Linked DNA regions of Lytechinus pictus. The protein of the gene in region 1 interacts with the protein of each later gene in a pairwise test. Links are inferred from orthologs where the notes say so. Each region holds a gene or a part of one and is shown in the gene's direction. Other genes may lie near its edges. The genes, in order: peripheral plasma membrane protein CASK-like; protein lin-7 homolog C-like; ATP synthase subunit s, mitochondrial-like; ubiquilin-1-like.

Region 1 (7,057 bases):
GAAAACAGAGGAAGTAGTTCTAACTGCAAGATTGTTACCTTATTTTTGCCATAATACACTGTTACCATGGCAACACCAATTCCAAAACATGCAAAAATTTATTTTGCACATCTTTACCCCAAGACCAAAATATGTACATACACACCAACATTCAACCCCTCCACCAAGTTCTCCGCCACCCTTAGGCTTGTTTAGCATCTGCATTCAAATATATGGTGCATTGAGATGTGAGGACAAACAGAACATCTGTTCAAAAAGGGTCTGAATTCAAGAACTAAACCAATGCAAAATAATGCACTGCTATTGAGTTTTGCACTGGCGCTAGTCTATATATCAGACCAATTTAAACTCATAAATTCTGACATTTTCACCCATTTTTTCACTGTTCCTGCAGCCAGATTTTTTGGAGCATACCCCATTTTTAATTCTTATACATAAACAAAGGTCTGGAGAAAAAATCATGCTTTTGTCCACCGTGTCCACAAGTAGGGTATTTTTGACGCTAACAGACCGGACTATAATGACAAATACATTTACATGTCAACGCTAGTAATGTGTGAAGAACCATTCTTTTCCCCTTGTGTATCTGTTATCAACCCCCACCCCCAAAAAGAAATTCAAAAAGAAATTTTGATGAACAAAGAATGTCATTACACCCCAGCCTGTCTGTATAGAGCATGTCCCATTCAACTTAGGCATCCCCCTGTATATAGACACGTTTTCAATTGGTTATAAAGGGGATGTAACTTGGAGGATCATACGAAACAATGTTAATACTGTAAGGGGGAAAAAGAACAAACAGTTGTGACCTTTTTGAGCAGCCCACGTGTTGTGTCCCATAACACAAATTCCACCCTACCCCAACGGCACAATGCCTGCGCAGGTCTTGAGAATGGAAGAATAACAGCATTGCTTCTTCAACATAATTTCATTTATTGATTTCCATCATTTCAAGGGGTCGAGTTCTGTATGATCCCCGGCGCAACCTCCACCCTTTCAGAACCACCGTCGGTTCAGTAATAGGATGACAGGGAAAACGTTATCTCAAAGCCCCGTCGTTCGATTTTGTTCGCATTACGACTCACTCCCGTAGATTCAATTTTGGATTTGACGGGTCAGTTGAAATTCAATAACTGCTCCTGTGCTTTTGCCCCCTGCCATGGGGGGAGATTTGCCCAGTGGTCATGCCCCATTCTTGCAAGATGCACGATTTTATTAAATGACAGTATCCTGAAGTTCTTACATGTAGGTGTAGTGCAGTGATGGGAGGAATGGAAGGTTTAGGTGTATCCAGAGAGAACTGTGCATGTTTTGTATCTGTTTGTGATGGAAATCACTTTTATTGTGAATGATGTTCTCTGCTATTTGCTGGTAAATGACTTGTGGGTTTCATGATTTGATTATTTTGTTATTCAATCAAAATATAATTATAAACTAATGTTTTGTAATTAATTTTATGTCATGAATACAGGCCTTAAATTTTGAACTTTTTTTTAGGGCAAGGCCACTTCCCAAAAGGGTACCTTATATATTTAAAGGACAAGTCCACCCCAACAAAAAGTTGATTTCATAAAAAGAGAAAAATCCAACAAGCAAAACACTGAAAACTTCATCAAAATTGGATGTAAAATAAGAAAGTTATGACATTCTAAAGTTTTGCTTGTTTTCACAAAACAGTTATATGCACATCCTGGGTGGTATGCAAATGAGGAGACTGATGACGTCATCCACTCACTATTTCTTTTGTATTCTATTACATGAAATATGAAATATTCTCATTTTCTCCTCATTGTCAAGTGAAACAACGCTTGATTCCTCCATGAACAGTTGAAACTAGCATTGCTTAAAACTATATGATTCAGTCGAGTTGGTCCCTATTGTCAAATCTATAAAAAATGAAATATTGTATAATTCAAACAATAAAAAACAAAAGAAATAGTGAGTGATGGACATCATTGACTGTCTCATTTGCATGTCACTGAGTTGTGCATATCACTGTTTTGTGAAAAATAAGTGAAACTTTAAAATGTCATAACTTTCTTATTTTACATCCGATTTTGATGAAATTTTCAGCGTTATGCTAGTTTGATTTTTCTCTAATTATTCAAATCAACATTTTTCTGGGGTGGACTTGACCTTTAGGTACAGTTATGGAAAGTTACAAAGGACCTCAAAATATTCAAGGCCACTGAAAGGGCCATTTAAAGCCTTGGACTGCTTTTTAAACAATTTATAATCTGCATGCCTAATCGATATCAAAACTAGGATTAATGAAAAGGGGTAGGGTTGGGAGGTTCTGACAACACCACCAAAAGCCTCTGTTAGTCCTGGCTGCAACAGCCCGCGTTAGTGCATGTACTGTATGCATTGAAATGTCCGTAATGTCTTACTCTAGGTACAGGTAATAAGAAGGGACAGCATCTATTGATTACTGTACAAGCTCTGGTGACGGAGAGGACAGTAATACGAGTGATTCTCGAGGCCCTTGATTGGGTTCTTGTTTCGGGAGGGTGCATATTCTCCGCCCAATAAGCAACAGATTTCTAGGAACATGGAAACCTAGACCCCATTCCCACCTTCATTCTTAAACCAGTTTTTTTAATAGTGGCAACCAGTTTAACGTGTAATGGGAATGCTCAAAGCAGTCTTGGAAGCGATCTTAAGTGGTCTTCAAAACCAGTTCGGAAATCCACCTTGCAATGTGGTCTTCAAGACCACTTTACCTTGTTAAACTGGTTAACCGGTAAGGACACAACTGGTTTGCTTAAATTGGGTGTGCGAATCAGTACATACGGTACAAACAAATGATGTTTAAATCCAACATTTTGGGGATTTCTCTTAATCAACAGATGGTAGTTTCACATAATAAATTAACCAACCTGATATGTTGGTTGAAACATTTCTTGGAGTGTGGATTAAGGGGTGCATAATGAAGAAATGGGGGAAAGGTCCTTCTGAGCGAACTGTAATAAATTTGAACTAAATTTATATATTTTGTAATTAAATTACTTAAGAATATATTTAAAAAATGAAAGAAACATGCAAAGGGAATGAATCTATGATTCCTATGGGTTCCAATCTTGGTCAGTCATACATGATGAAGGAATCCAACTTGAATTGTGTACTCATACTCGATACTCGGTATTGACAAAGGTCCCGTCTCTGTTTGCGCAGTTCTGATCCTGGAAAGCAAAGTTCAAACTGCACTGGGTCCGTGGTGTCAGAAAGATATATCAATGATATTCATGGAATAATTATTGATTTGTCTTACAAGGCTACATACATATGTGTCTGTGTTCCCCTAACAAGTGCAGACATACTTGCACATGCGAAGAATAGTTCTTGATTCATTCATATGCTGAGATAGTTTACCCACATGTGCCACATTAATAATTGATGTACATGTATACATGGTTATTTTGATTGCGCGATTAATATTTTATTAAATTGATACTCATGTTCTACATGTACATGTACATGTATGCAGGTCTGTGAGTCAAGCTTCTATATTATCCACTGTAAAAACTTATATTAAAAGTCAGTACTAATACATTGTGAAAGAAATGGAGATGATGGTATGGGCGATGCCATAGCTGAATGCTTGAGCAATACAATTTTCATTGTTATCAATGATACAGGTATAGTGGGTAGCCATGTGAAAAACTGATTACCAATATCAAAATGTTTAGTTGGAGGTGAATTAAAGGTGAAAATGGTGTGTGTCGCACGGGACTCATAAATGTCCCGTACGACGACGCAACATTTTATCCTCTAATTCACCCATCGACGACATTTTTCTGTTGGTTGTAATTTTTTTTTTTACATGACTTTCAAGTAGTACTTTATTACTACCACAAAACAAGTTGAAGTTCCTTATTTTTTTGGACAGCAGGTTGAAAAATGTCGTGAAAATGGCTGATTTTTCTAGCATGGAATCGCCCATTTGTGTGTCTCTTCTGTTCTGGGTATACAGTCATGATACTTTTTAACACTTCAACATTAAAATGTTCTTATTTTTCTCTCTTTTCTCTCATTTCCTTTTTTGTAGACCTGAAAAGAGAAGCATCAATATGTCACATGTTAAAGCATCCACACATTGTTGAATTATTGGAGACATACAGTTCAGATGGACTACTCTATATGGTTTTTGAATAGTAAGTATATCTTTCACGTTCTTTGGCAAGGCCTAAGTCCCATTTTTGCCACTCTCCACCCAGGTGGAGTATATATGTAACTTTTAATCTGAGAATAGATATCTTGCAAGCTCTAATAACTTCATACACTATACAGGTATATTTCAGGGCCAAGCAGAGTTTATAGCTGACGAGGCTATCCTGATTAAATAGAAATAAAAATAGAAATGAAATGAAATTAACAGTTCCTAATCATATTCTAATGGACACTGCCTATTTCATTAAATTTTTGAAAAGTTATCTGCCTTGACTTCAATTATTGATTGATTTTAATATCCAATGTGCATTTGAGATCATGTCATATGAAGAACTTAAAATGAAATATAAATATTACATATAAAGAATAATCAGGTACATGTAGGTCTATAAAATGATGAATTATCTAGCCATGGTTATCAAAGCATTACAAGTCACGCTTCATGATTTCATAGGAAGTCTGACAAGGAAGGTCTTAATGGGTCATTGACTTGCAAGCGTCATAGATCATGATTTGTAACTCTCGTGAATGAGTGCTAATAAAATAAGAAAAATGATTTAGTTCTCCTCAACTGGTCCCCCGTGAATACATGTAGGTGTAATGACAAATATGAGGATTTATCAACGTATGTAAATCATTCATGTAATTTGTCGTCTCTTTTGTATTATGTATCATTATATGCAGTATAGTTGATGCTCAATTTCTGTATGATTCTTAGCATCTCAGTGTAAAGAAAACAGATGATATATGCACTATACATGTACACACCTTTTTTCTATCATTTCAAATGGACTGCTTTCCGTGAGAAGGGGATTTATTCTATCCCCAAATATGACGCTGCAGTCACACCCATAAAACTGACTCTCAGCCGACCGATCGTATCTCATTGGAAATAACGTAACAGCTTTGATCACTCTGTAGTCGGTTTCACCGGTGTGTCTGTAGCAGTAGTGAGGTTCAAGTTGGTGAGGTTTACTTCATGCAAGACCAAGATGGGATTGCCTACGAGCGATGTCCATTGATGGGAGAGAATTCCTTGTAGAAGAAAAAAACTATCATGCTATTTTTAGCCGTGGATGTTTAGGCCAGGCATTCTATAGAGTGATGTGCGTGCGTGTTTCCATCAATTTATTCGATTGAGAGGATGCCTGCATCTTTTGTTTAGGGGGGTTGGTGACAGTTCCGAGGGCTAGAATTTAGCTTATTCTTTCAAGATGTTTCATATTTTTTACTTTGCTCAGTAATCTTAAATGTATGTTCAGCCTTTGAGAAATGGGCATATCTATTGTTATTAGAATTAGAAATGAACAAAATACGTTTTTCAAATTCTGGGAGAACTTTTTATCAATGTATTGTGTTTGAAGCTATGCATGTTTCAAATAGATGAAACTATATTTTTATTGATGTTGCTTATTGACCATTTTGTCTTATCAATAGCTTAGAGAAATTGGATGAGGGATTTGGTCGACTCCGCCCTCAAACTGTTCAAAAGAGCCCTTGCTAAATCCCCATTCATGACAATGCAGAATGTTGCAGTAGGTTACAAAAAGTAGATTAAAAAATATATCTTCAATACATGTATATATTTATTTTAACTTTTTATATAAAATGCAATTTGAGTAAATAATCATTGGGACTTTACAAAAAAAAAAGTATCTGGAAACCATTTCCACGCATGGCTTGTCAGTACAAATTGTACGAACTTGTTTTACCATGCAGAATACCCTCATTTCATCATATAAAAATTCATGTCTGTTATTCCTTTCAATTATTTACAATTCTACAACCCTCTTTTTCACAGTCTGTTTTGACAAAGTAGATTTTGGATCAATAAAATATAGATTTCACCACTCCTCCATTTCTGACAGCATGTATGTAGTCTGCCTTCCAGGCAAAACTGTATTCAAGAAAGGGGAAGAAATATAATGTGGATATATGTCTTTCCATGTTATTGGAATCGTAAGAGCCCGTCTTCATAATCTGGAAATGGCTTTAATAAATTCTTTTAATTGTATTGATTTTTTTGTTGGTAAAATGAGATTTGTGTTTAGTATGTAGGCCTATTCCATTCCTACAGTGTACACATTGAGTAGGAGCTAGTTGTTGATGCACTAAATTTTTTAATACTGCATGTACAGTACAAGAAATTCAACTTGTCTGAAAGGCACGCTACATGTATTTATTCCCATGAGTGGTGAATTATGCATATAATGATTCGCTTTGATGCAACTAGCTATGCATGCTGCAGTGATGAGAGGACAAACGTATCAGCTTGATAATATTTCAGTCTTAGTTTGCATTAAAAATGTCATGTAATATTTGTTTTCCTTGAATTTGCATTGTACTTGACTCAAGTAGAATCCCCTGCTATGAATAGCAGTATACTAAAATGAAAATATAATACATGTACAAAAATATTTTCATTCACTAATCAACATTTTCTTTCTCTTTTTATTCCTCTCTGCTATATTTCTTCCTTCATATATTTTTCCTCATCTCTCTCATAATCTTCCCCCCCCCCAATTCATAAAAAACTTTGCTTCTGCCCCTCTCGCTCTTTTCTTCACTTTCGTGTTTGTTTATGCTCTCTCTTTGATGTTCTACCTGTTTTCTCTCTTTCTCTCCCCTCCTCTTTCACCCTCCTTTCTTCCATTCCCCTTCTATCTCTCCCGTTCTCTTTCTCTCTTCGTTCTTTCCCTATCTCTCCTTTTCCTTCTTGCTCTCACCCTCCTATTACCCTGTGCAGTATGGAAGGAGCAGACCTGTGTTTTGAGATTGTCAAAAGAGCGAATGCAGGCTTCGTCTACAGTGAAGCAGTATCAAGGTAAGTAACTTAATATTCATACCCCTTTCACACTGACCATTCTGGGGATACCCAGATGTTACC
Region 2 (7,807 bases), on another chromosome or scaffold:
AATTTTCAATCGAATGATAAAACAGTTCAGTTGATAGGCCCTACTTTTAATTCCCCCATTTTTTAATCACCAACAAATAAATCGTGCCACACCTCAAATCAATAATTGAGAGAAAAAAAATATAAACATAGTGGCATTGTTTGTGACTATTAAACAAGCATTTAGTATAGGCCTACCATGATTGAAAATTCTAAAAACTAATTAAGAAAAACCATCGACAAACTGATAAAGATGAAAATGCGCTACATTGGCCTATATACTCTGCACTAAAAGAAAGCGATGTCACGTAGTGTGATCACTGTACGTTTGCTTAGTGGACTGTTTTTTTATTATGAAAATATTATTTACACTGAAATAATGCTCAAATTCAACAGTGTGAAGATATTGTCAAAATTCTCGACCAGAAATGACAATGACTTTATTTCTTTGACGGCCCCTCCTGGGGGCATGGAGGAAAGGTAACAGGTTATAACAATGGCATAAGAAAAATACAATTAAACAAAGGTTAAAAAAATCAAAATATATAATAGTAAAAAAATTGTTATGTATAGGAATATAAGAGCAATACACTGTAAAAAAAAAACATTGAATCAGTAGTTAACACTTAATGTATTTAAGTAGAATTTACAATTTGTAATTATTTTTTGTTGTTTTTAAGTAGTTTCAACTTGTCTTTTAATTTACTTGATTTACTTGATTTATTTGGGTTCAATATACATTTAAGAAAATTCACGTATTGATATCTTGCTTTGATTGAGTAAATCTAACTCAATTAGGCAAAGATGATTATTACTTATAAAATCATGTTGAATGTATTTATATTTTCAATTAACGCCATATTTAAATAATGCATGAATATTCATTAGAGCAAGTAAATGTTTTTTTTTTTTAATAACTGTCATTTCTATTTGTGTTTGAAATTGTTTTGGATAAGGGTGTGCTAACTATTGTATTCTTTTGTTGAATCAAAGAAAAGGCAACATTAAATAGTCATTTAGCAGAAAATTATTCTCACTGTTTTATTTGTAAGAATGAAACGATCGCGTATAAATATCAATGTCAGTACCTATACATGTACAGGTAAGTGACAATTCACAAAGTCTAATATTTGGATAAAACATGTATAAAATGAAAATGATGCCACCAAAAGTGGGACGATGGGGGAGCGGACTTTCGAATCACGAAAGTCCATCCACTCCCCCATTTGATATTTTCAAATATTTTAGTGATTGTTTTACTTAATTGAATTAAGTTATTGTAACTTAATTTTCTTGAGTAAAATGGAAGCAAAGAAAATAAGTAAATTTTACTTAAAACTGCCAAAGTCATAAATACTTGAAAAAATTAAGGCAATTTTTTGCCACAATTTTATTAAGTAATTTCTACTAATTTTTTTTTACAGTGTAGTAACTGGCAGCGTTGGTGGTTGTTCACATGGTCGATTATGTGAATATGGGATGCACATTGTTGAAATGATCAAATTTAAGTGTGAAGGGGGCATGGTTTCACAAGTGTTTCACATTGTGGTACGTATTCATTGACTCTTCCCGGTATTGGGCCGGTGGTTTGGCGTCAGAGAAATAACACTTTGTAACTGATAATCTACTCAATGTGCCTGTTTTGAAACATTCTGTTTAAGTTTTATTGAAAATGTTTGATGGAAACGCACTTAAAATAAAAAATAATATTGCTGATTCAGAAAAAATGAATAAAAATAATAATTGCTCTCTGTTGTGATATGATTTGTTTTTATCCTGTTATTGCTGTCGTAATTCCCCGTTTTTAGGGAGGGGTGGTGCCGACTGAAAGAGCAATATCTGGATCTGGATCCGTATCGAGACAAAGTATTTGAGAAAAAAAGTGATACATAAAAGAAGGGAATGGTCTAAAGACGTAGTAGAAAAGCAGGTATACAGACTGCATGATTATGGAACATATAAAATGCGTTTGCATAATAAAAAATAAATAAAAAAGAGGGGAATGGGGTAAATCGGGTCATGAAAACCATATTAAAGGATTATGTGGAAAGGAGGTAATAGATTAAAGGAAAAGGAGGGGGAAAGGGTCATAAATTATGATCCGCTGGTTAGTGATTTTTTTTAACCAAATAAAGGGATGGTCCGGGCTGAAAATATTTATATTTTAATACATAGAGTAGAATTCACTGAGCAAAATGCCGAAAATTTCATCAAAATCGGATAACAAATAATAAAGTTATTGATGGTTAAAGTTTAGCAATATTTTGTGAAAACAGTCGTCATGAATATTCATTAGGTGGGCTGATGATGTAACATCCCAACTTTCCGTTTTCTTATGTTATTACATAATATCATAATTTTTTCATTATTTCATACTTACCTTGTGTGAATGATATGTCTCCCTTATAATGAAATAAGTTGCAGCAATAAATATCTAATGCACTAAATCAGTTGTCAATCCAATTTTTCTAGTTCTTGGAGAAAAAAGTTAATAAACCTAATTTCATATAATAAAATACAAAAGAACAAGTGGGGATGTGACATCATCAGCCCACCTAATGAATATTCATGACGACTGTTTTCACAAAATATTGCTAAACTTTAAAATTCAATAAACTTGTTATCCGATCTTGATAAAATTCTCGGCATTTTGCTCAGTAAATTCTACTCTATTTATTAAGCTATAAATACTTCCAGCCCGGACCATCCCTTTAAATACTTTATAATTCATTTTTTTGTATCTGATTTGATTTGGGAATTACAAAAAGACAGTGAAAAGTCGGAGCAAGATATTGCAAAAGAATAAAAGCTTGATGGGGAATTAAGGAAAAATTCATGGTTTTCTAGAAAGAAAACGTGGCTAAGCTATAAAAGAAATACCCGGAAGAAAACATGTGAAGGGTAGATGAAAGTTCTACAAAAAAATGAATGAATGAAAGAGAGAGAGAGAGAGAGAGAAAGTGAAACAAAAATCACTAAAAATATAATGAAAACGAAAAAGTTCTAAGCAAAAGAGTCACCGCAGAGGGCAGTATTCCAATTTTCATTTCGCATTAAGTTGAATGGAAACACGAAATTACATGGGAATTAAGCGTTTCATGAAAACTTCTTGACTAATAATGGCTAATAAATGGGGGGGGGGGGGGGAGGGGATTAAAATTGTGCCCCCCTCCCTTTGTAAGTGATAACTTTTTTTTGCTTGTCAAATTCATCCTCGGAAAAATGTGCCCCCCCCCCCTTTGGAAAATCCAGGATCCGCCCCTGAAAGGGACCTCCGTCATTTTGCCGTTCTCTATAACTTTGTTCAGTTAGTGCACTATAATAGTGGACCATGCCCCCCCCCCCAAGGGAGAGGGGGTGGGGTAAATGGCAAAGAACAAAATACAGAATCATGAAAAGGGAAACTACATCTGTAACTTGGTTTGACTGCCAAAAAAACGGTGACAATTTATTATGCAATAATTATATAATAGAGAAACTATACTGAAAAGAAAAGCAGTGTATGATAAGGAGGATACCTGAAGAAAATAAAATCGATTTTGTTTTTTTCCATGAAGAAAACAAAACAATCAAATCAGTAGTAATAATGATAATAAAACAGCTAGGGATGCTGTGGGCCATGCAAGTATGCAACTCAACTCACCGTAGGGTTATACTCACATGCTTTTCAATTCCTTTCTTCTTGTTGTTTTCTCTTCTTCAGTTCTAAAATTATAATCAATTAAAAAATAGGCCTATAAGGCCTATTGTCAGCAGTTGCAGCTCGAGGTGCGGCCGCGATCGATGCAGGAGCTACACCCCCAGCCAATGAATTTGCCCCATAATGGGCTCGCCTATATGGTTTCACTTTGACTTTCTCGGGGATAATGATATAGGCATTCATATAGCGCCAATATATATAGTTTTTATTTTTCTACTTCTTTTTCTCTTATTTTGTCTGCAAATATATTCCTTGACCTCGACGCTGTATTTCTTTTTACCTTTTGGCTCCGCGGGGATTATGTTTTACTTTTCTCTCCTGTATAATCAAAGGCCTTTAGATATAGGCCTACCTTTCATCTTTTATTATTTTGTTAATTTCCTCTTTTCATATTTTATCGTACATATTTTCAGGACCTATATCTTTTCTTTTCTTTCTTTACTTTCTTTTCTTTTCATTCTTTTCTTTTCTTTTCTTTTCTTTTCTTTTCTTTTCTTTTCTTTTCTTTTCTTTTCTTTTCTTTTCTTTTCTTTTCTTTTCTTTTCTTTTCTTTTCTTTTCTTTTCTTTTCTTTCTTTCTTTTCTTTTCTTTTCTTTTCTTTTCTTTTCTTTTCTTTCTTTTCTTTTCTTTCCTTTTCTTTTCTTTTCTTTTCTTTTCTTTTCTTTTCTTTTCTTTTCTTTTCTTTTCTTTTCTTTTCTTTTCTTTCTTTTCTTTTCTTTTCTTTTCTTTTCTTTCTTTCTTTTCTTTTCTTTTCTTTCTTTCTTTCTTTCTTTCTTTCTGTCTTTCTTTCTTTCTTTCTTTTCTTTTCTTTTATTTTCGTTTCGTTTCTATTCGTTTCTTTTCTTTCCTTTTCTTTTCATTCATTTTCAAAGTTTCTGTTTTCTGTTATCTTTTCTTCTTCTTTTTCAGTTTTTTAATTGTTGTCTTCTATTAATTTTCGTATACGTTGCTGCGGGCGTTGCTGTCTTTTCTCTTTTCCCGTTTCTTTTATTTTTCTGTTCTCTTCCTTTTCCAACCATTTTTTGTTGTTGTAATTCCACCCTTCCCTTTGCCACATATTTTCTTCTGATTAATCCTTGAAGCACATTGCTCCCAACTTGCTCTTTACTGCCAGATTTGCAGATTTTTTTTCATGCATTCGATGTGTGTGTACAGTACAATGATGACGTCATCCGAGATCAGATGACAAAATGGCTTCTACAGGCGAACTTACACTCGACAGAGGTAAAACACTAACGATTATGTTTTTGCCAATATATCAGAGAATTTATGAATATTTACGTTTATTTACTTATTTCATACATATGCATTATCTAAGGATTGTTATAAAGTGGGATTCAATGTGTGATATTACGAGGAAGTGTGGAAATAAGAGTGTTTTCTGGGAGTTTCTACGCTACGGTCCGGCATTTGCAACCCACTGCACTGGCTGATGTTTACAGGAAGGAGGGGTCGTGCGAACGTTCATATCGGCCCCAACGGGGCGGGGAGGTGGCCGGTAGGTGATGACGAAGAGCTCGCTGAGAGTTTGGCGGAGCTGACTCTCTGACTGTCCGGGGCTAATGCAATTTCGCGCTTACCGATTTCAGGCAAATTTCCCACCAGTATATTGTTTGCAAAATGCAAGTCTCTCATTCACACTTCGAGGTGAATATGCCCACTGCTTTTCCAAATCGGGAACGGCGAATTTACATTTTGGCTCCGATCTCGACGTTATTCAAATTCTTGGGGGGGGGGGGGGCACTTCCATTGAAGAGTGGATACCATGTGCGACCATGGCCATGGGGTCTCAAAAAGCACCCTAAACACGTATTTTCCATATGCTGAAAATGCACCCCTTAACAAGTATTAGCATGTTAAACCCTACCCTTAATAACAAGTATTGGAAACAAAACGATACTCTTGGACTTGGCAAGTATTCCCTGAATTGAACCCCTAAACAAGTACAGCGATATTTTAATTGTTATGCCATGGAGGTCGGTCGTCGGTTTTACCTTAGTTTAAGTTTAACTACATCATTAATTGGGTTTAGTACGGCTTCACCTTCCACACCTCGCGTAAATCGTACTCTAAACACGTAGTGTTGATTGTTGGGGCAAAAAGTACATCCTTTATAAAAAACATTTTAGTCCCAATTTTCTATACCCTCCCAAATTTGACCCTAAATACGTAGCTCTTCTAGCGAAAATAGATACCCTTTTTTCATTATTTTAGTGTTTTTGACACCCTTATTACTAAGTTACATACGTAACGTGCCCTATCTTGAAAAAGACACCCTTTTTACGTGTTTTTTTGGTCGCGCATGGTATCCACTCGTCAATGTAAGTGCCCCCCCCCCCCCCGGGTTCTCGGGTCAGACATAGGCCTTGCCCTTACTTAGCAACCAAAAGATATGCCTGCGGCAGCTCACATGTTTGTTCGCATGATTTTGGTTGCTAACTTCAAATTGGAGCAGTTACTTAGAATAGATCGTCGAGAACGGGGCCAGATTAAACGTTCCCGATCACGATATTTGGAAAAACGGTGGGCATTGGCCTTGAGGACTTTGTGATTATATTTTTTAATATTTTGACATATACTTATTCATCATGAAGCCTTGAAACAGGCGAAGCGAGACATCAAAGCATTGATTGATTTCCATAGGATATTAGGAAATCCATCTTTAAACCTACAAATCACATAAATTTGTATACACCTTCATATGCCTAATGCGTATGAAGGTGCAAAAAAACTATTAGTATAAATATGAAAAATCAGAGGTTTCTTACCAGACCGATTTCGTTTAGATCCCTCATTCCATTCGTAAACACCGCAATACATAAGGCTTGGCCCTTGAACCGCTTCGTTATAACGTAGCCTCGATAAGCAATGGTACAAAATACCGTCTTGAAGAACAATTTATTGATAAAAATTATCATTTAACAAATGATAAAATTTGAAACTTGATTATAAATAATTATTATTACAACCAAGAACAATGAAGAGGAGAAAAGAGAGATAAAGACCCTAAAAGTAAGATTGTAATGAAAAAGTGAAGTTTTATCATGAAACTTTTGCCACAAGCGCCATGCGGTGCCCCTTGATTTCTTTTTACTCGTCACGCTAATCCCACATAGAGCTACGCGCCAATGCTCGCATATTTTATTACCATCATGAAAAATCCTGTTGACACCATGATATGTCCAGGAAATTTTTTGCTCCTGTCACCCCCCCCCCCCCCCCCCCCTGTTACACCCTTGACTTTCTGATTCTGCTCGCTAGATCTGCCAATGGAACTGTTGTTGTGTTAGCTGGGGCCTGGGCCGGGCTGTGAGCTTGGAATGATAAAGAGTCTATAGATTATAGAATATGCTTTTTATTTGTTGGGCATGACTGGTAGGAAAGCTCAGTGCCCGGAATAGATTTTTACTTCTCGATAAAAACAAACAGGAATAATAATTGTTTTGAAGACTGACTGGGTTTTTTTTTTTTTTTTTTAATCAAAGGAAGGCTGGTAATTATTATCACCATGCTTTTTATAATTGTGATGGTACTGTCTCCCCCTTCTTTGTTTTAAAATAAATGATCAATCTTGACCTCTAGATCTATCTTGTCTTTCATGCTTTTGAAATAATATATTTTGTGGGATTTCTGTACTTTTTACAAATGAGTAAAGTGTGAGATTGTACTTAGTTAATGTGGGATTCCTGTCAAAGTCATGTCATCACGTCTCTGTTTATTTTCCATCAGATGTCAGCCGTGCAATACAGTTACTTCAAAATCTACAGCAACGTAAGTTTATCATATAATTTGCAAGTACATGTACCACAAAAATTACAGATACATACTGAGCACTTTCCAAAACCTCTATCCAGATCCTAAAGTCAAAGGCTACATGTATGTTTGCCCTGATGGTGAGATGGTTCAAAGCAGAAAAAAATATAGAAAAATATTGGTGAAGGTTTATGTATCAGTCAAAGAATAATAACAGTATTCCAAGTTTTCAAAATAAAATCATATATCTGTGAAATTCTTCATATTTTGATATTTGTGAAACTGGAATTTAGCACTATAATGCAGTAATGTAAAAACTAGATCTTTGAATAAAAAAATAGAAAAAGAGATTATTTTAGCAATTAAACCCAGCAGT
Region 3 (7,966 bases), on another chromosome or scaffold:
GAACAAGATTTGGGGTTCACTTAAGCATGCGATGTGTAATATGTAGTTCAACTACTTAGCAGTGAGCAAAACACGGATATCAAAGTCTTGTATTTTGTCTTCAACTTTTACAACCTCACATTTTGACAGTATGAAGAAATTTCTTTTTTTTTTCGGATAAACCAATATTCTAAATATGCGTTTGGAAAACTGAATTACTATTTTGGTTATTTTCTACGAACCTTCCCTGGCAACTTATTGTTGATATTTGGGTGGCTGGCCACATTTGTTTTGAGAAAAAATATCAAAGAGTATATGAAAAAAATATTTATGTAAAAAAGCTTGCCTAGCTGTTGGTATTTTCTTCTATTGTACTTTGTCATGTAACTCTGGTAGATTTCATTTCGTTACACAAAATGGGGTTCAGTATTCAGAAAAACCATTAACCTTGCCTCAACCACAACAGTACTTGCCAAACTGGATAAATCAACATTATATCAAGCTGTGTAGAAGAACTTAATGATCATGTAGATACCATTAAGTGCATACATATGTAATGTCTTTCAAGCTGTATGACAAAAATATTCTTTTCCATCCAACATCAGCTTCTACTATTTTTTAAGGTTAGTTTTTATTGTCATGTTGGCAAATTGTGAAATAGTTCATGTTGAAATATGTTGTATTACCTGTCATGCATTTGTAATGTTATTTTTTTAGAATATATTCTGTCATCATTTTCAGTACATAAAAGTTTATTCAATGTATGCCTTTACCAAAGTTGGCCATAAGCACAGTGGGTACCAACTATCACTGAAGACAACACAACAATTACTCAAAATATATGCATAGCCTTATGAATGTACAAGTCAATAAAATCTACTATGACTACATAGCTTTTTTTTGTGCAACACAGTCATATTTCATTTGGATCAATTCAAAATTGAGTGGTGTTTTGGGGGTAATGCTATGGTAACTGCAGTTCTGTTGTCCTCTGACAGTTGGTGTTGTAAGGATGTGATTGGCAGTGTGTGGACGTCATGTTATAAGAGAAAAAAGAAAGTTAAAGTGAGAGTGTTGGCTTTGAAATGGACTCAACCTATGAAAATTAAAGTTTGTGCTGCAGAAACTGGTGTGGTAGTGGGATGATAATGATGATGAGGAACAGGGCCGGTATTCAATGCTACTCTTAAAGCCACAATTTCAAGTATATTTTACTCAGTATTTTGCAAAAGTAAAATACTTATCCATCTTTGGTATTCAATTGCATTTTTTTTTGGCTAAATATTTTGCTTAAATGTAAGTCAGCCATCTACTAGACTTAAGTCTACATATACAAAAATGATACGCACAGAAATACATTCACACATTTGGCACTATTTGGCTCAAAATTTATAACATCACAATGGGTATTAGTATTTAGTTCAATTTGGATAAGGTAAATTCTGAGATCTGATCTGCATACAAGTTTAAGCATTTTGATAAGCCAGCCAAATTGCTAAGTAAAATACTTACAAAATCAAAACTTAGAATTTAATAGGCGGCCGAGGTATTATTTTCTTCCAGAGGACATGTACAGATTTCTTGTTGACAAAGGATGACATGATGATTATTTTGCAAATATGGCTTATTAAAAAATATATTATGTATATTCCATTTCAGTGACAATTGCATTTTTGGGGAGGGGATATTACGTATTTGGGAATGGAAAAGTTCAAAATTAATGCAAACTTAACCTATTTACGCAGGGGGGGGGGGGGGGGGCTCTGAGCTCTGCGATTTAAAAAAAAAAGTCTTTTGCATGTTTTGAGACCAGTTTTGCGAAGCCCGGGTACTGGGTTCTGAAAATTACCAAACAATTTGTAAGTGCATATCAGACAAAAATGGCTCAAAATTGTGATATTTGTGTACCACGTCAATGGAATATGCGTTTTCAACCAAAATTCATGAATGCCTAATTGTTTTTAGTTTTGTTGAACTAAACTGATTTATGTTATGCTGTTACGAGAGTCCGAGCATCGTTGAAAAAAAACAATGCAATACAAAGGTAAAAACACAAGAAATACATTATCGAAGAACACCACAAAGAGTTTCTAAACCAAAAATTAGAACATTTGGAGCTTTATTTAGGGAGTTAGAGGAATAGGTATAGTATACTAATTATGCACAAATGAGCATAATCAATTAATAGCAATTTGCATGAAATAAATAACTACACAATTTTGTGGATTATTAAAAGCAATTGCGATCTTTTTCTTCACTATTCATTGTTTTTAGAAACCTCATTGTAGACTTGCCTCATGCACCTCTCAAGATGGCTTCATCATTTGAATTATATTCTACACTTATCATTCTTTAAAAAAAATCATTGTAGACATGCCTCACCTCCTCTCAAATTGCCTTCACCATAACTTGTAATACAGTTTATTCTTTTTAAAAACCTCCATTAACTAATTGCCTCACCTCCTTTTAAATTGGCTTCACCATAATTTGTAATACAGTTTATTCTTTTTAAAAACCTCTATTGAAACTTGCGTCGCCTCCTTTTAAATTTGTAGTACAGTTTATTCTTTTTTAAAAACCTCCATTGAAACTTGCCTCACCTCCTTTTAAATTGGCTTCACCATATACAGTTTATTATTTTTAAAAACCTCCATTGAAATTTGCCTCACCTCCTTTTAAATTGGCTTCACCATACAGTTTATTCTTTTTAAAAACCTCCATTGAAACTTGCCTCACCTCCTTTTAAATTGGCTTCACCATAATTTGTAGTACAGTTTATTCTTTTTAAAAACCTCTATTGAAACTTGCGTCGCCTCCTTTTAAATTTGTAGTACAGTTTATTCTTTTTTAAAAACCTCCATTGAAACTTGCCTCACCTCCTTTTAAACTGGCTTCACCATAATACAGTTTATTCTTTTTAAAAACCTCCATTAAAACTTGCCTCACCTCCTTTTAAATTGGCTTCACCATAATACAGTTTATTCTTTTTAAAAACCTCCATTGAAACTTGCCTCACCTCCTTTTAAATTGGCTTCACCATATACAGTTTATTCTTTTTAAAAACCTCCATTGAAACTTGCCTCACCTCCTTTTAAATTGGCTTCACCATAATACAGTTTATTCTTTTTAAAAACCTCCATTGAAACTTGCCTCACCTCCTTTTAAACTGGCTTCACCATAATACAGTTTATTCTTTTTAAAAACCTCCATTGAAACTTGCCTCACCTCCTTTTAAATTGGCTTCACCATAATTTGTAGTACAGTTTATTCTTTTTAAAAACCTCTATTGAAACTTGCGTCGCCTCCTTTTAAATTTGTAGTACAGTTTATTCTTTTTTAAAAACCTCCATTGAAACTTGCCTCACCTCCTTTTAAACTGGCTTCACCATAATACAGTTTATTCTTTTTAAAAACCTCCATTAAAACTTGCCTCACCTCCTTTTAAATTGGCTTCACCATAATACAGTTTATTCTTTTTAAAAACCTCCATTGAAACTTGCCTCACCTCCTTTTAAATTGGCTTCACCATATTATACAGTTTATTCTTTTTAAAAACCTCCATTGAAACTTGCCTCACCTCCTTTTAAATTGGCTTCACCATAATACAGTTTATTCTTTTTAAAAACCTCCATTGAAACTTGCCTCACCTCCTTTTAAATTATTGGCTTCACCATAATTCTTAGTACAGTTTATTCTTTTTAAAAACCTCCATTAAAACTTGCCTCACCTCCTTTTAAATTGGCTTCACCATAATTTGTAGTACAGTTTATTCTTTTTTAAAAACCTCTATTGAAACTTGCGTCGCCTCCTTTTAAATTTGTAGTACAGTTTATTCTTTTTAAAAACCTCTATTGAAACTTGCGTCGCCTCCTTTTAAATTTGTAGTACAGTTTATTCTTTTTTTAAAAACCTCCATTGAAACTTGCCTCACCTCCTTTTAAATTGGCTTCACCATAATTCTTAGTACAGTTTATTCTTTTTAAAAACCTCCATTGAAACTTGCCTCACCTCCTTTTGAATTGGCTTCACCATAATTTATAGTACAGTTCATTCTTTTTTAAAAACCTCCATTGAAACTTGTCTCACCTCCTTTTAAATTGGCTTCACCATATACAGTTTATTCTTTTTAAAAACCTCCATTGAAACTTGCCTCACCTCCTTTTAAATTGGCTTCACCATATACAGTTTATTCTTTTTAAAAACCTCCATTGAAACTTGCCTCACATCCTTTTAAATTGGCTTCACCATAATACAGTTTATTCTTTTTAAAAACCTCCATTAAAACTTGCCTCACCTCCTTTTAAATTGGCTTCACCATAATATTCAGGTATAAGGTATATATTCATTCTTTTTTTTAAAAACATCATTGTTCACTTCCCTCACCTAGATCATTTGGCTATATATAATACCTTTTATTCTACACTATTCTTCCCTTTCAAAAAACCTGATTGGAGCTCCTGCCTCCCATGATCTGACATTTGCCTCTCAACGTACTGGAAATAAATACCATTTTTTCAATATTTTTGTGTTTTTGACACCCTTATCACGTTACGTACGTAACGTGCCCTCTCTTGAAAAAGACATCCTTTTTACGTGTTTTTTTGGTCGCGCATGGTATCCACTCGTCAATGTAAGTGGCCCCCCCCCCCCCCCCCCGGGCGTACTGTACATAGTGTTATTTTATTATCTCTTTATATGGGAAACTTCGTTTTACCGAATTGCCATGCACTCTCTCCGACGCGTTTGAAGTCTTAGACAGCATGGCATACTACCAGCCGATGGTACACACACGCACACACACACACGTTATTTGACAACTTGTCTCTGGAGCCAAAGTTCCTCGCATATAACTATCTGCATGCCTGCACGCAGTGTGTATTGAACACGCACGACCACGATCTAATGAATATTCATCGGCGAGACTGACGTCATTTTACGAGTCTCCTTTCAAACTTGGATCATAAGTGCCTACCCATCATATCAGTGGAATTCTAATTCTATGGTGTTCTCAATAAATGTCGAAACAAAATTCTGAGCTAAACTAAGTCAAGTTACTAGTTAGTTAGTTACAGCACAGATGCAGAGCCGTAAAACTCCCTCAAAAATACAAAGATGACAAGCTTGCTATGTAAAAATGTAAGAAATTTATCTCTTGTGAGGAGAACTATGTGTGTCTTTATGTGAATGAATGGCGTTGTAATTGTGAGTTTTAGAGAAATGCCCAGGCAAGCTGAGCCTGAGGCAAGGCCAAGGGCCAAGGACAGGTTAAGGCACTATAGGTATCACAGGCCTAACTCATTCCCCATAGACTCGTGTGTTAAATTGGCATTTTAAAAAATTCATAAAAAATAAGGGTGAAATTCGGGGGTCGAATGTTTACTACCAGTGGATAGGATTTTTATCTGGCAATCCATATCTGACCAGAAAAGGGTCCCTCGACCGGCTCATTTTAAAAATAAATTGGCGTGTTTGAAGACACCGTCGGGGGGAGCAGATTCATCACCTCAAACAGCAAAATAGCCCTAATCCTTCCGCCAGTCAAAATATAGTCCAAAGTTGGTGATATTTCTTCCCAATTTGGGAAAAGGAAGTTCAATAATTACCAAAAATAGAATCAGTGTTAGATGGACAATCATATGCATACACTTTGTTAATCAGCCATATCAAAATTTAAAAAATAGCAATGGGTTGGCTCGAATGAATATCTATGGCCTGCCTCTAGTGATTAGGCCCGTGAAGCCCTAACGTTAGGCCAAAGACGTTACGGCTACGCACGGGATGCGGTCGGTGGCGCGCTGGCGGGGGCCGGGGCGGGCGGGCGGCGGCAGCTGGTGTGGACCTAGACAGCTTGCAGCCGTCTGTTTCGAGGAGTTTTTTAATCATATTTTCTCCTCGTACACTGGCGGTACACAGATGGCTCGCGATCGTGCAGCTGCCATTATTTAGGGGGTAAACAATGCAAAATCCCCCCGACGCAGGGCTCATCAATTTTTTTCTTTATTTCATAAGAACTGGGCCAAAATGAAGATTATATTATTCCGTTTTGGCCTGATGAAATGCACCAAAGCAAAACGGAAAAAAATTAACTTAAATGGGGGAAAAACAGTGACTTAACTTCGGCTGTCGCGCAACTCCCGCGGCCTGGTTTATCCGAACTTAATAAACATATCATCATATGGCCATTGTCTTTGATACGTCCCTGTACTGTAATCTGTACAGATCGAGTTAGAACTTTGGTCTCTGTAATTGGTGACTGGAGCCACTCACACGTCTAGACCAAAACAAAAGCTTCAGTCTCTGTAGTTTGATTATTTCGCTGAACTGCGTTGGCTCACTCACCAATACATATAGTAAAATAAATCCCCAGAAACGACGGTTATTCCTGTCTATCACACGTCATGCAGGTATTGTGACTAATACTATACTAGGACTGGAGCCAACGGAGTTCAGCGGAACAACCAATAAAACAGAGACCGAAGCTTTTGGTCTAGTGTGGACCGTGCAGACAGACGCTAGATCAAGGCGAGTAGGCGACATCGACAGGAACGGCTGACAAGTCATGAAAGGGGTACTTTAGTTTAGGGCCGCACACCTACTGTCTACTACCATCCATGAGCATGATGAGTGCCCCCCCAAGTTGGCTGCACTTACCTGCTTACTCCGAAATTCACATGTAGATTTCTTTTTCATGACTGTCTTAAAGTTTGCGTTACTCCGTTAGAATTTCTTGCTTTTTTTATAATGCAAATAACTTTTTTTTTTTTTTTGTGAGTGGGAATTATAAATGAAATTTGTTACCTTAGCCTAGCCCTAGGGCTAGGCTTAATAAAGCTCGCTAAATTAAATTCTTCTATTTCTAATTGTGTTTGTTTTGTGTACAAAGTTGATGGAGGGGAAGTTTGTCACCAGGTATTAATTATTAAATATTATTATTATTAAATATAAGAGTCGTGAACAGCTGCTTCAGTTGTCTGATAGTAATAAATCTCATATTAGTGAGGTGATGAATTGTGGAACAATTAAGACCTATAACCCAAAATGAATAGATAGAACAGATTAAAGGAAAAAATATCAAATGATAAGGAAGTGAAATAAGATCAAAATGAAGCTATTGGAAGAAGTATGGTAATTCATTGGCTCGATGAAAAGAAAAAAAGAGATAAATTTGAGAAAACCAGAAACGAGGTGATAGAATGACAAAAGGAAAAGAATGGTACTTTCAATTGCAGAAAAAAATATTCCAGACCCAACATTAAAATGGAGAATTAAACAGAAGGAATTCAAGAAAGTCAATAGAAAGAAAATGAGATATTCCCTGTTTCCTTTGACTATTTATAGCTTAATGATGAGAGCTTTTTGAGTAGATCTATGCCTACATTGTTATGCTAATGTTGGTCTACTTTTTTGTCAATGGAACCTTGGGAAATTTCTATTTGCTATTGGACCTTTCAAAAGACCCTCTTTTCCAATTTCGCTGGCAAATTGTTGTAGGCAAATGTGAGTGTTTGAGAAGGATATGGCAAATTGGTTATGGCCTATTTATTTAAAACAGGTCTTGCTTTGTATCTGTCTAAAAAAAAATAGACACCTTGTTGGAGTTTTCCTGTACATTTGCCACAGTGCTTGTCTTGGATTTCTTGAGTTTTTTTTTTTTACCTCAAGAATGCATTAGAATATGAATGTTATTATTTTTCTTTTTTGTATATTGCTGTTTGAAGATTTGCAATCCAGGTAGATCCATTGCAAGAGGTATTCTACTGCAGCACCATCTCCAGTCACGTCCACTCTGGGGGATGTTAAATGCTGTCTTTAATCAGTAAGTTATGCTTTTATTTCGATAACTCTGCTAATAGGGACATGTATCCCTATGTATCGAGTGCTATATAAAAATACTATGGTTAACAATAACGAGATTAAAAACCTGCAATTTTCTATATCGGGTACTTCTGTAGTCGTGCAGTTTTGAAAGTAAAACCAATCATCAATC
Region 4 (8,018 bases), on another chromosome or scaffold:
TTGTAAGTCTGCGCACTGCTGCGACATCTTCTCCTGTGAGCCTCTAAGATAAGAGTTCATTTCCAAGAACTTCAGGACCTTCTGATAGCAGTCTTCGATCTCCCTTTCTTCCTTGCTTTGCTCCAGTTGTTCTTCAGACTTCCTTGCACTAGACGACACTGATTTGCTGGATTCCTGTCTGGGTCTTTTGGCAGCTGACTCAAAAGATTTGGATGTATCCAGTGCGACCCTGGCTGAAGATTCACCTGTGAAGTTGATCAAATGAAAATAACAATTAGGTTTTTACATCAATGAATGAGTGTGGAATAAATATCTTTATCATATCAATCAAATACATGTAGTCTATTATTCAAAATTAGTACAAATGTTAACATAATTTTCATTAACAACATCCATTTGAATATCAACATCATTTATCATAATCATAATTGACTTGGACAGTCTTGGTTCAAATTCAATTGTTTCTACTAAATTCTAGTTAGATTTTAATTTATGCTAGTTTGATTTTTCTCTAGTAATAGTAGTATTTATTCAAATCAACATTTTTCTGGGGTGGACTTGACCTTTAATCAGAATAAATAAAAGATGCAATGGAAGAGTATCTGGGTCGATGTGGGTTCACTTACCGGAGGGGAGGAAATCTCTTGATTTTGAATGGGAATCCTGATGAGGAATCCCGCCAAGCGCAGCACCAGCTGTATCGGTAATGTCCTTCTTCAAGAATGTAAACGCGACATCATCGCTCGGCGCCGATTCCAAGTCTTTAGTGATTTCATCAAGACTTGGAAGTTCAGGTCTGCTTAGTAATTTCTTTGTTCTCGACATGTTGACATTCATATATCAAGCATGAATCAAAATAATTTTCTAAGGGCAAAAGTCTAAGTTCTAACTCCTACTCGAATCTTCGCGTACGTTAACCATACGTGTACATCCGTATGCGATATAAGCATTACATTAGAAGCCTATGGAACGCCATGGTATGATGGTAGACAGTTCTTATGTGACCATGATTTGATTTCGACACAACGATGACTACAAAAACGGTAAGACCGGCCTTCATTAATTTTTGGCCCGGGATTTTGGCCGCTGTTTATTACCCTGGTCTGTTATTATCATTATTTTTTTTAATAAAGGTCTTGATGAAGTTTCTGTTTTTTTTTTAATTCCAATGTGTTATAAAATTCGCAAACTGAAATTATTCTTTGAGATGATAATAACAAAGCGTACTGTACATTTTCCCCGGGCGCCAGTCAAATACAGTACGTGGCGTAACTACGCCGGGCTGGCCAAAAAAAAGGGGGAAAAGGAGAAATAGAGGGAGAAAGGGAGAGAAACGTAGCGAGAAAGAAGATATTGTTCATTATATTTATAATGTAATATTATGTTATGTTATATTACATAAAAAAACATTTTTTCATAACTTTATGAAACATAATTTGCTCAGGGCCTATATGTCTCCATTGTTCCTCGTGCTCACATTGTCTGTTTAACGAGATATGTAATCCTGTTGTACTAAAACCTCCCGTTTCAAGTCAATATACACATATTGTTTTATGTATAGTGACACGTGCTTCTTATTCGTGACTATACTTAAAGTAACTGCCCCATTTTAAGGCCTTGATATAAAACATTTCCTGTCCATGCTTACGTTCGCATTAGTGAATTGGTAAGATATGTCTGCTCTTCATGAATTCCTAAAATCAGGCTTAAAATGTCCCTTTTTCTGATCCGGAATATCAAAAATTTTCAGCTTGCGCTTTGCGCTCGCATCACTGTGAAATACGTATCTTTGGTCTTCGTGAATTCCTACAAACAATTAAGCCTTATATAGAATGCCCCTCTTCAGGTCTGAATTTCCTAAATCTTCAGCTCGCGCTTCGCGCGCGCAATATTCGATTAGTGATAGATGCGTATGATAATCATGATTACAATTACTACAAAAGTGCTCCATGTGTTTAGATGTAATCCTTAAAAAAATCAGCATGCACTTAATTGGCACTCGCATTAGATTTCATGGTGAGAGGGGGTGAGATATATGTATACTCTTAATGGATTGGCTAAAATATAGTCCTTAAAATGTCCCTGTTTGTGGTCAGTATAAACAAAAATTCGCATTGTTTGTTTAGCGAGATAGGTACGTATCATGATTACAAAAAATTGCTTGTAATGTCCCTTTTTAGGTCTGAATATAAACAAATTTCAGCTCGCGCTTCGCGCTCGCATATGATCAGTGAGATATACGTTTAACTGAGCGCGTTTCGCGCGCTCACTAAGTGACTCAAAAATTTTGCTGGTGCCCCCCATGCCGTGACCCGACGGTACACCACTGTTGTTGTGTATTTGACTCCGGAGGGGGGGGGGGGTACAGTATGAACCATTTTGTGAAAATGACATGGATTTTAAATAAAGTGCAGCATTCATTGTATTTCTTATTTTTTTATATAAATGTCAATTTTTTTTATAGATATTTTTTGTCGCCTTTCACACCTCATTAAAATTGAAGGTGCTACTTCTCTTTAAAGAGCACAGCAATATGAGTGAATTAAGTATATAATTCTGAACTATGATGTAAAATTTTGTGAAACTGAGATGGGTTTTGACTGAGTAATAGAGGTTCAAACTCAACGTCGTGATCCCGTGGGGTTTAAAAACGCAATATTATTTTACTTGTGTATTTCTCGAGACCTTGCAAACTTGGTGAACTTCAAAGCTCGATAGCAATTTTTTTTTGCATATTTTGAATAATTATATAGTTGCTCAGTGGTGTACCTGGCATATTTCGTCAGGGGGGGGGGGCAAGCGACAAAAATGAGCAAGGTGGATGGGGGAGGGGTAGTAGGCATGGACGTATAGGCACAATTTCTTCAAGGGGGGCTGATAATCATTGCCCAAATATCAACTTCACAGTTTTTAATTTTCGAGCGAGCGAACATTTTTTTAATTATTATTTATAGCCATTATTTTAACATGATATGAAACTTGCAGAAATTATACATTCGGTCATCAAATTACCAATACACGAGGATATTTGGGCACCTCGTAGTCCTCGTTGCCCTCCATTTTGCTGCCCCCCATACACGTTTGGATGTGTAGGTCTGGAAGTGGCACTGAAGGTGGGAAAGGTTACCCAGGGCAGAGGCGTCGATCCTGGGGGGGGGGGGCAGGGGGGCGATCGCCCCACCAATGGAAATATTGGGGGGGGGGGGCAAACATATCGTTTTGCCCCCCCCCCCAATAATTCCGCATGTGCAAAAAATAAAATAAGATTGTAATGTTTTTACAGAGAAATCAGCAAGCGAGATTGAGATACACAACTTGTTCTTTATCTAAAATCGTGCTCAAAATGTCCGCTTTTCAGATTGGAATATGAAAAATTTTCAGCACGCGCTTCGCGCTCGCATCATTTCTGTAGCAAAACCCATACTTTTCATGATCAAATAGCTGAATAGAATGTCCCATTTTCAGTTCTAAACCTCAAAAGAACTCCCACTTCGATTTGCAATAATCTTTTGTTGGATCTATATCTCGTTCTTTGATTAAATCATTTTTCCTGTGATTTGATCATCACCAAGTACTCTCCCATGACCATCATCATCATCTCCATCTCCATCATGGCCTTCATTTTCACCATTATCACCATCATCCTAATTCATCTCCATCTTCATCATTATACAATTATAAACAAAATAACATTTCCATTCTGCTTTATAAATGTATGTAATAATTTAATGAGTTTTATTCCGGGGTTGTCATTTTTTTTCAAGCAATCTGCTAATAATGACAATCCTTCTCCTGCAAACTGTAAATGTTAAAATGTTCTTTGTTGGTTGTAGATCATATTTGTTTAGAATGACTTTCTATTTTGTATTTTTTTTCTTTATGATTCATACCTAAATCAATTACCGATATATTATGTTTGTTACATAATGAAAATTGAAATGTTATAATTATATGAATGCAGAAGAAAAAATAAATCAAATCAAATCAAATTTTGTTTAACATTATTGATCCAATGCTTATACTTTAACAATATTATTTTGTTATATAGGCCTACATTGATTTGTACATACTAACTGCGAAAATTCTGGTGTTGAATTAACACCAGCCCGGAATCTATATATGTCCACACCATGCAGAGAATTGTTAAACAACACAAGTTTCGTTTTGGTCTAACACCAGATAGGTGTTTATACAACACCAATTAGTATTAAAACAGCATCGGTTTGATTCCAAAGTGGTGCTATTTCAATACTTCTCAGTGTGGACATAGGCCGGGCTGGTGTTAAATCAACACCGGAGTTTTTGCAGTGTACTACTTTATAAACTTATATCTGATGCATTGAATGCGGAAATAAAGCGATCATCAATCAATCAATCAGTCAGTCAATCAATCAATCAATCAATCAATCCGCAATCAATCAACCAATCAATCAATCAACCATAATCAATCAATCAGTCAATGTACTTTGTATGGATATGTTTTTTTTATTTCTATCACGGTGCACTCGTCACAAGCACTGCTTACAGAGTACCTCCATTGTTGTTAAATTTTTGAAATTGTATTAATGCTTTTATCTTTGGAAATAAATGTTTAATTGAATTGAATTATATAAAGCCTTAAATGAAAATTATCATTATTTTTTTCACCGATAGATGTGAGATGAGAATGGAAATCGGGAATAAGGTTAACAGTATTATGATGCAAAGAGAGATAAGTGAAATCATATTCAGAAATGATGCAATATCAAAAATTCTGAGCAAATTAGGCTTAGATTGTAAGTCGATCCACTTGGCCTATAAATATAATAATTGATAAAATAGAGATGTGGGAAATGTTGCAGTCCGGAGTTACGGCATTGATTTGATCAATGACTTCAGTACACTCAAATGGGAAAAATGAATGGAAACTTTTCAATGTATATAAACCATCCACATCCCCGAATCTATTTATTGTAGTAATACCATGAAAATGGTAAATGTAGAAAAAAATAGTTAGTACAAACAACAACACATTACAAATGTAGCTTTCCATAACTTAGTTAGACAAATTCGGTCACTTGAGAGGTCAATTTGTTAAAACACAAATCTGGAAACATGGCGGAGCCTACAGAATCTTCGGGAACCACTGCTAAAGATATCATCAATGTTGTCGTCAAGACACCGAAAGACAAAGAAACAATAGAAATCAAACCCGATGCTACAATTAAACAGGTAATATATGTGATTGAGGGTCCATGTTTAGCAACGACTGTAGTGTAGGTGAAGTTTGTCAATATTGCTTATTCACGGCGCGATGAATGATCCACTCTACACTCACAGACCACAGTCTCTCACTGCACTCTCAGCGTTTCACAATGCGCAACGCCGCCGTAGCGCCATAGGCATAGCCATACTGGACTTAGCCTTAGCTTAGCCTTAGGCTTAGCACAGTCACAGGACGTGCATTTATTTTAAGATTTTAACCCAGACTAACTTGTAATGCGATTTTTTGTTAATGGGTGATACTGATAGTAATAAAGATGTTCGTATCTAATGACGTGAAAGCCCATTTTTAGCAGTTAAATTGTCTCATCAGACTCATGTAAATATGAATTATGAGTAACGTTACGTTGGAGCTTACCAGTGGCACTGGCAGTAGCCTGGAGGCTTCTGGGGAGTAAAATTATTTACTACGTAGGCTTACTCCCCATGAAGCCTGGGACGGCATGCCATAACTCCCTGTATAGGCATAGGATTCCCACGGTGAAAGTAAACCTAAAATCTAAATCACACATTTTCCTTTACTTTACGTTTTTAGCCCAAACTAACGTATGGGCCAAAACAATATTTACCCCCCATTTTTAATAAAGGTCCTTATATTTATTGAAAAATAGTACTAAATTTGAAAAAAACATAAGAGCACGAGCGTTTACTTCAGGGTCGGAATTACACGGGGGCGACGGGCGATTTTGCCCCCATGACAGCCCAAATCGCCCCTAAAAATTCTTTTTTCTTTCCCCTAAAAAAAAAAATTAATTCCTACCCTGGTTTACTTACCCAGTTTGTTTACGTCACCATTTTGGAGTCTTTTGTTATCGATACCAAGATACCACACGCATGTAGAGCTGCCAACTTAGATTTAAGAAATACTTTAATCGGCCGATAAATATTACGAATCGTAAAATACTTGTTTCAGTCGATAAATATCATTAAGCAATTGTTATGAGCAAACAACCGTCTATGGACAAAGGGGTGCGCTTTTGCACCCTCCTCGATTACTCCTAAATTTTGCTTTTTGATGGGGGAAAAGGGAAGAAATAATCAAAATGTATTTATACTATAATGACACGTGTGCGCTCTTTTTATTTCAAGTTTATTTTTTTAAAGCAATAGGTTTGAATGATTTCCTGCATGAAATTAAAAGGAAGGACTTCCCTAATTGTTTATTTTGTAACAGTGACCCGGAAACCTATTTACATCTTTTTATTGAATGTCCTGTTGTGAAACCCATTTGGGATGAAGTTATGAAAGCTATTATTAAGGAAACCAAAAAGCCTGATTTACAGAATGTTTCAACATTTGAAAAAATGTTTGGTTATATTGATGATACATTCCTTGCATATTTGTTTCTTTTGCTTAAATATTACATTTATATTTGTAAATTTCAGAACAAACCACCAACTTTTGATGGTTATAAAGCATATTTAACCTCTAACAAGGATATTGAATATCGTATTGCCAAGAAAAATAAACCTACAAGCCATTTTCGGAAATGGAGATTTAAGTTGTAAGATATTCTATCATTTTTAATTTTTGTAACTGAAGAATATTTTAATATGCCTTCTGAGGATAGAAATTTGTTAATCTCTAGGTAAATCACCTGATTTGTATCCCTCTGTTATTTACATTCTTGCCTTTACTATACTATAAGGGATGAGGAATACTTAGAAGAGACAAAGTGACTGCTTTTACAACATGTTTATCACTTTTTATCTGTTGATAAGCTGTACTTTTTCTGATGTAAACTAATAATGTGTATGCTGCTTTTTTATTTCAAATTACTTGTATTGTTTATATGTGATTTGTTACCCAAAATCATGAAAACCCAAAGAAACTAATAGACGGGTCAATATATGGTTTGACCCGGAACAAATTGCAACAAATGATTTTTCAACGGTATTTTGTACTATTTGACCTCAGGAATAACATACTAAAAATCTACCAAAATCCGCATCCGGGAAAGTGGTTATTTTTAAGATGTCATCCAAGATGGCCGCCATTCACTAAAAATTGATATAACTCACTCATTATCCACCCTAGAATCATATTTGGGTTCATATTCCATGGTCCAATGGGTAACAGAATTTATTTATACAAGTTAGAGTGAATATTAGCACTCCAGGGTACCAGGAAAATCCAAGATGGCGCCCAAAATGGATGCCGTAGTCTAAAAACTCCACAATTCATCTATTACTTACTTAAGTGGCTTTAATTTGGTTTCCATCCGATTGTTTTAATGATGAAGTAGTACGTCGGGACAAGTTACAAGATGGCTTCCAAAAATTGAGTTTAAAATGGCTGTTAATCCTTAAAATGGACATAGCTCATATCACATCAACCTGAGAGATATGATTTTGGTGTCTAGACCATGGTTTCAATTGTCAAATAATACATTGGGACAAGTTACAAGGACAGTCAGTGGTCCAGTATGTTCAAAAATCCAAGATGGCTTCCAAAAATGGAGTAAAAAATGCTGTTGCTACTTTAAAAAAACCCAACAAAGTTTGTTCAATATTCGGGAATATGATTTTTTTGTGCCTATACCATGGTTAAATGGGTCAAATAATAAATTGGGATAAGTTACAAGAACGATTGGTGGTCAAGTATGTCCAAAAGTCCACGGTGGCTTAAAAAATATGGTATCAATTAGCCGCGATGGTATTTAAAAATGGACATAGTTCATGTTTTATTCGTCAAGGGCATATGATTTTGTTGCCTATATCATGGTTTCAAAAGGCAGAAAATTAGTTACAAGGACA

Evidence for each region.
Region 2: the proteins of peripheral plasma membrane protein CASK-like (region 1) and protein lin-7 homolog C-like interact in a two-hybrid assay, tested with the Caenorhabditis elegans proteins (5 studies listed by BioGRID). The link is inferred for Lytechinus pictus from reciprocal best matches to the Caenorhabditis elegans genes lin-2 and lin-7.
Region 3: the proteins of peripheral plasma membrane protein CASK-like (region 1) and ATP synthase subunit s, mitochondrial-like interact in a two-hybrid assay, tested with the Caenorhabditis elegans proteins (3 studies listed by BioGRID). The link is inferred for Lytechinus pictus from reciprocal best matches to the Caenorhabditis elegans genes lin-2 and C05C8.1.
Region 4: the proteins of peripheral plasma membrane protein CASK-like (region 1) and ubiquilin-1-like interact in a two-hybrid assay, tested with the Caenorhabditis elegans proteins (2 studies listed by BioGRID). The link is inferred for Lytechinus pictus from reciprocal best matches to the Caenorhabditis elegans genes lin-2 and ubql-1.

The regions. Positions count from the first base shown.
Region 1 is NC_087260.1:13,512,514-13,519,570, forward strand, and holds the start of peripheral plasma membrane protein CASK-like, read left to right. Parts: upstream 1-4,049; 5' UTR 4,050-4,077; coding exon 4,078-4,154; intron 4,155-6,916; coding exon 6,917-6,994; intron 6,995-7,057. UniProt on the Caenorhabditis elegans protein: May play a structural role in the induction of the vulva. May be required for the localization of signal transduction molecules (such as let-23 receptor) to either the basal membrane domain or the cell junctions.
Region 2 is NC_087253.1:11,784,257-11,792,063, forward strand, and holds the start of protein lin-7 homolog C-like, read left to right. Parts: upstream 1-4,804; 5' UTR 4,805-4,868; coding exon 4,869-4,902; intron 4,903-7,407; coding exon 7,408-7,449; intron 7,450-7,807.
Region 3 is NC_087251.1:18,076,958-18,084,923, forward strand, and holds the start of ATP synthase subunit s, mitochondrial-like, read left to right. Parts: upstream 1-4,956; 5' UTR 4,957-5,091; coding exon 5,092-5,115; intron 5,116-7,697; coding exon 7,698-7,795; intron 7,796-7,966.
Region 4 is NW_026974140.1:5,442,006-5,450,023, reverse strand, and holds the start of ubiquilin-1-like, read left to right. Parts: upstream 1-5,007; 5' UTR 5,008-5,094; coding exon 5,095-5,211; intron 5,212-8,018. Other genes in the region: uncharacterized protein LOC129260988, read right to left, coding at 1-245, 627-837. UniProt on the Caenorhabditis elegans protein: May play a role in the ER-associated protein degradation pathway (ERAD) possibly via its interaction with ER-localized proteins ubxn-4 and cdc-48.1 and/or cdc48.2, providing a link between the polyubiquitinated ERAD substrates and the proteasome.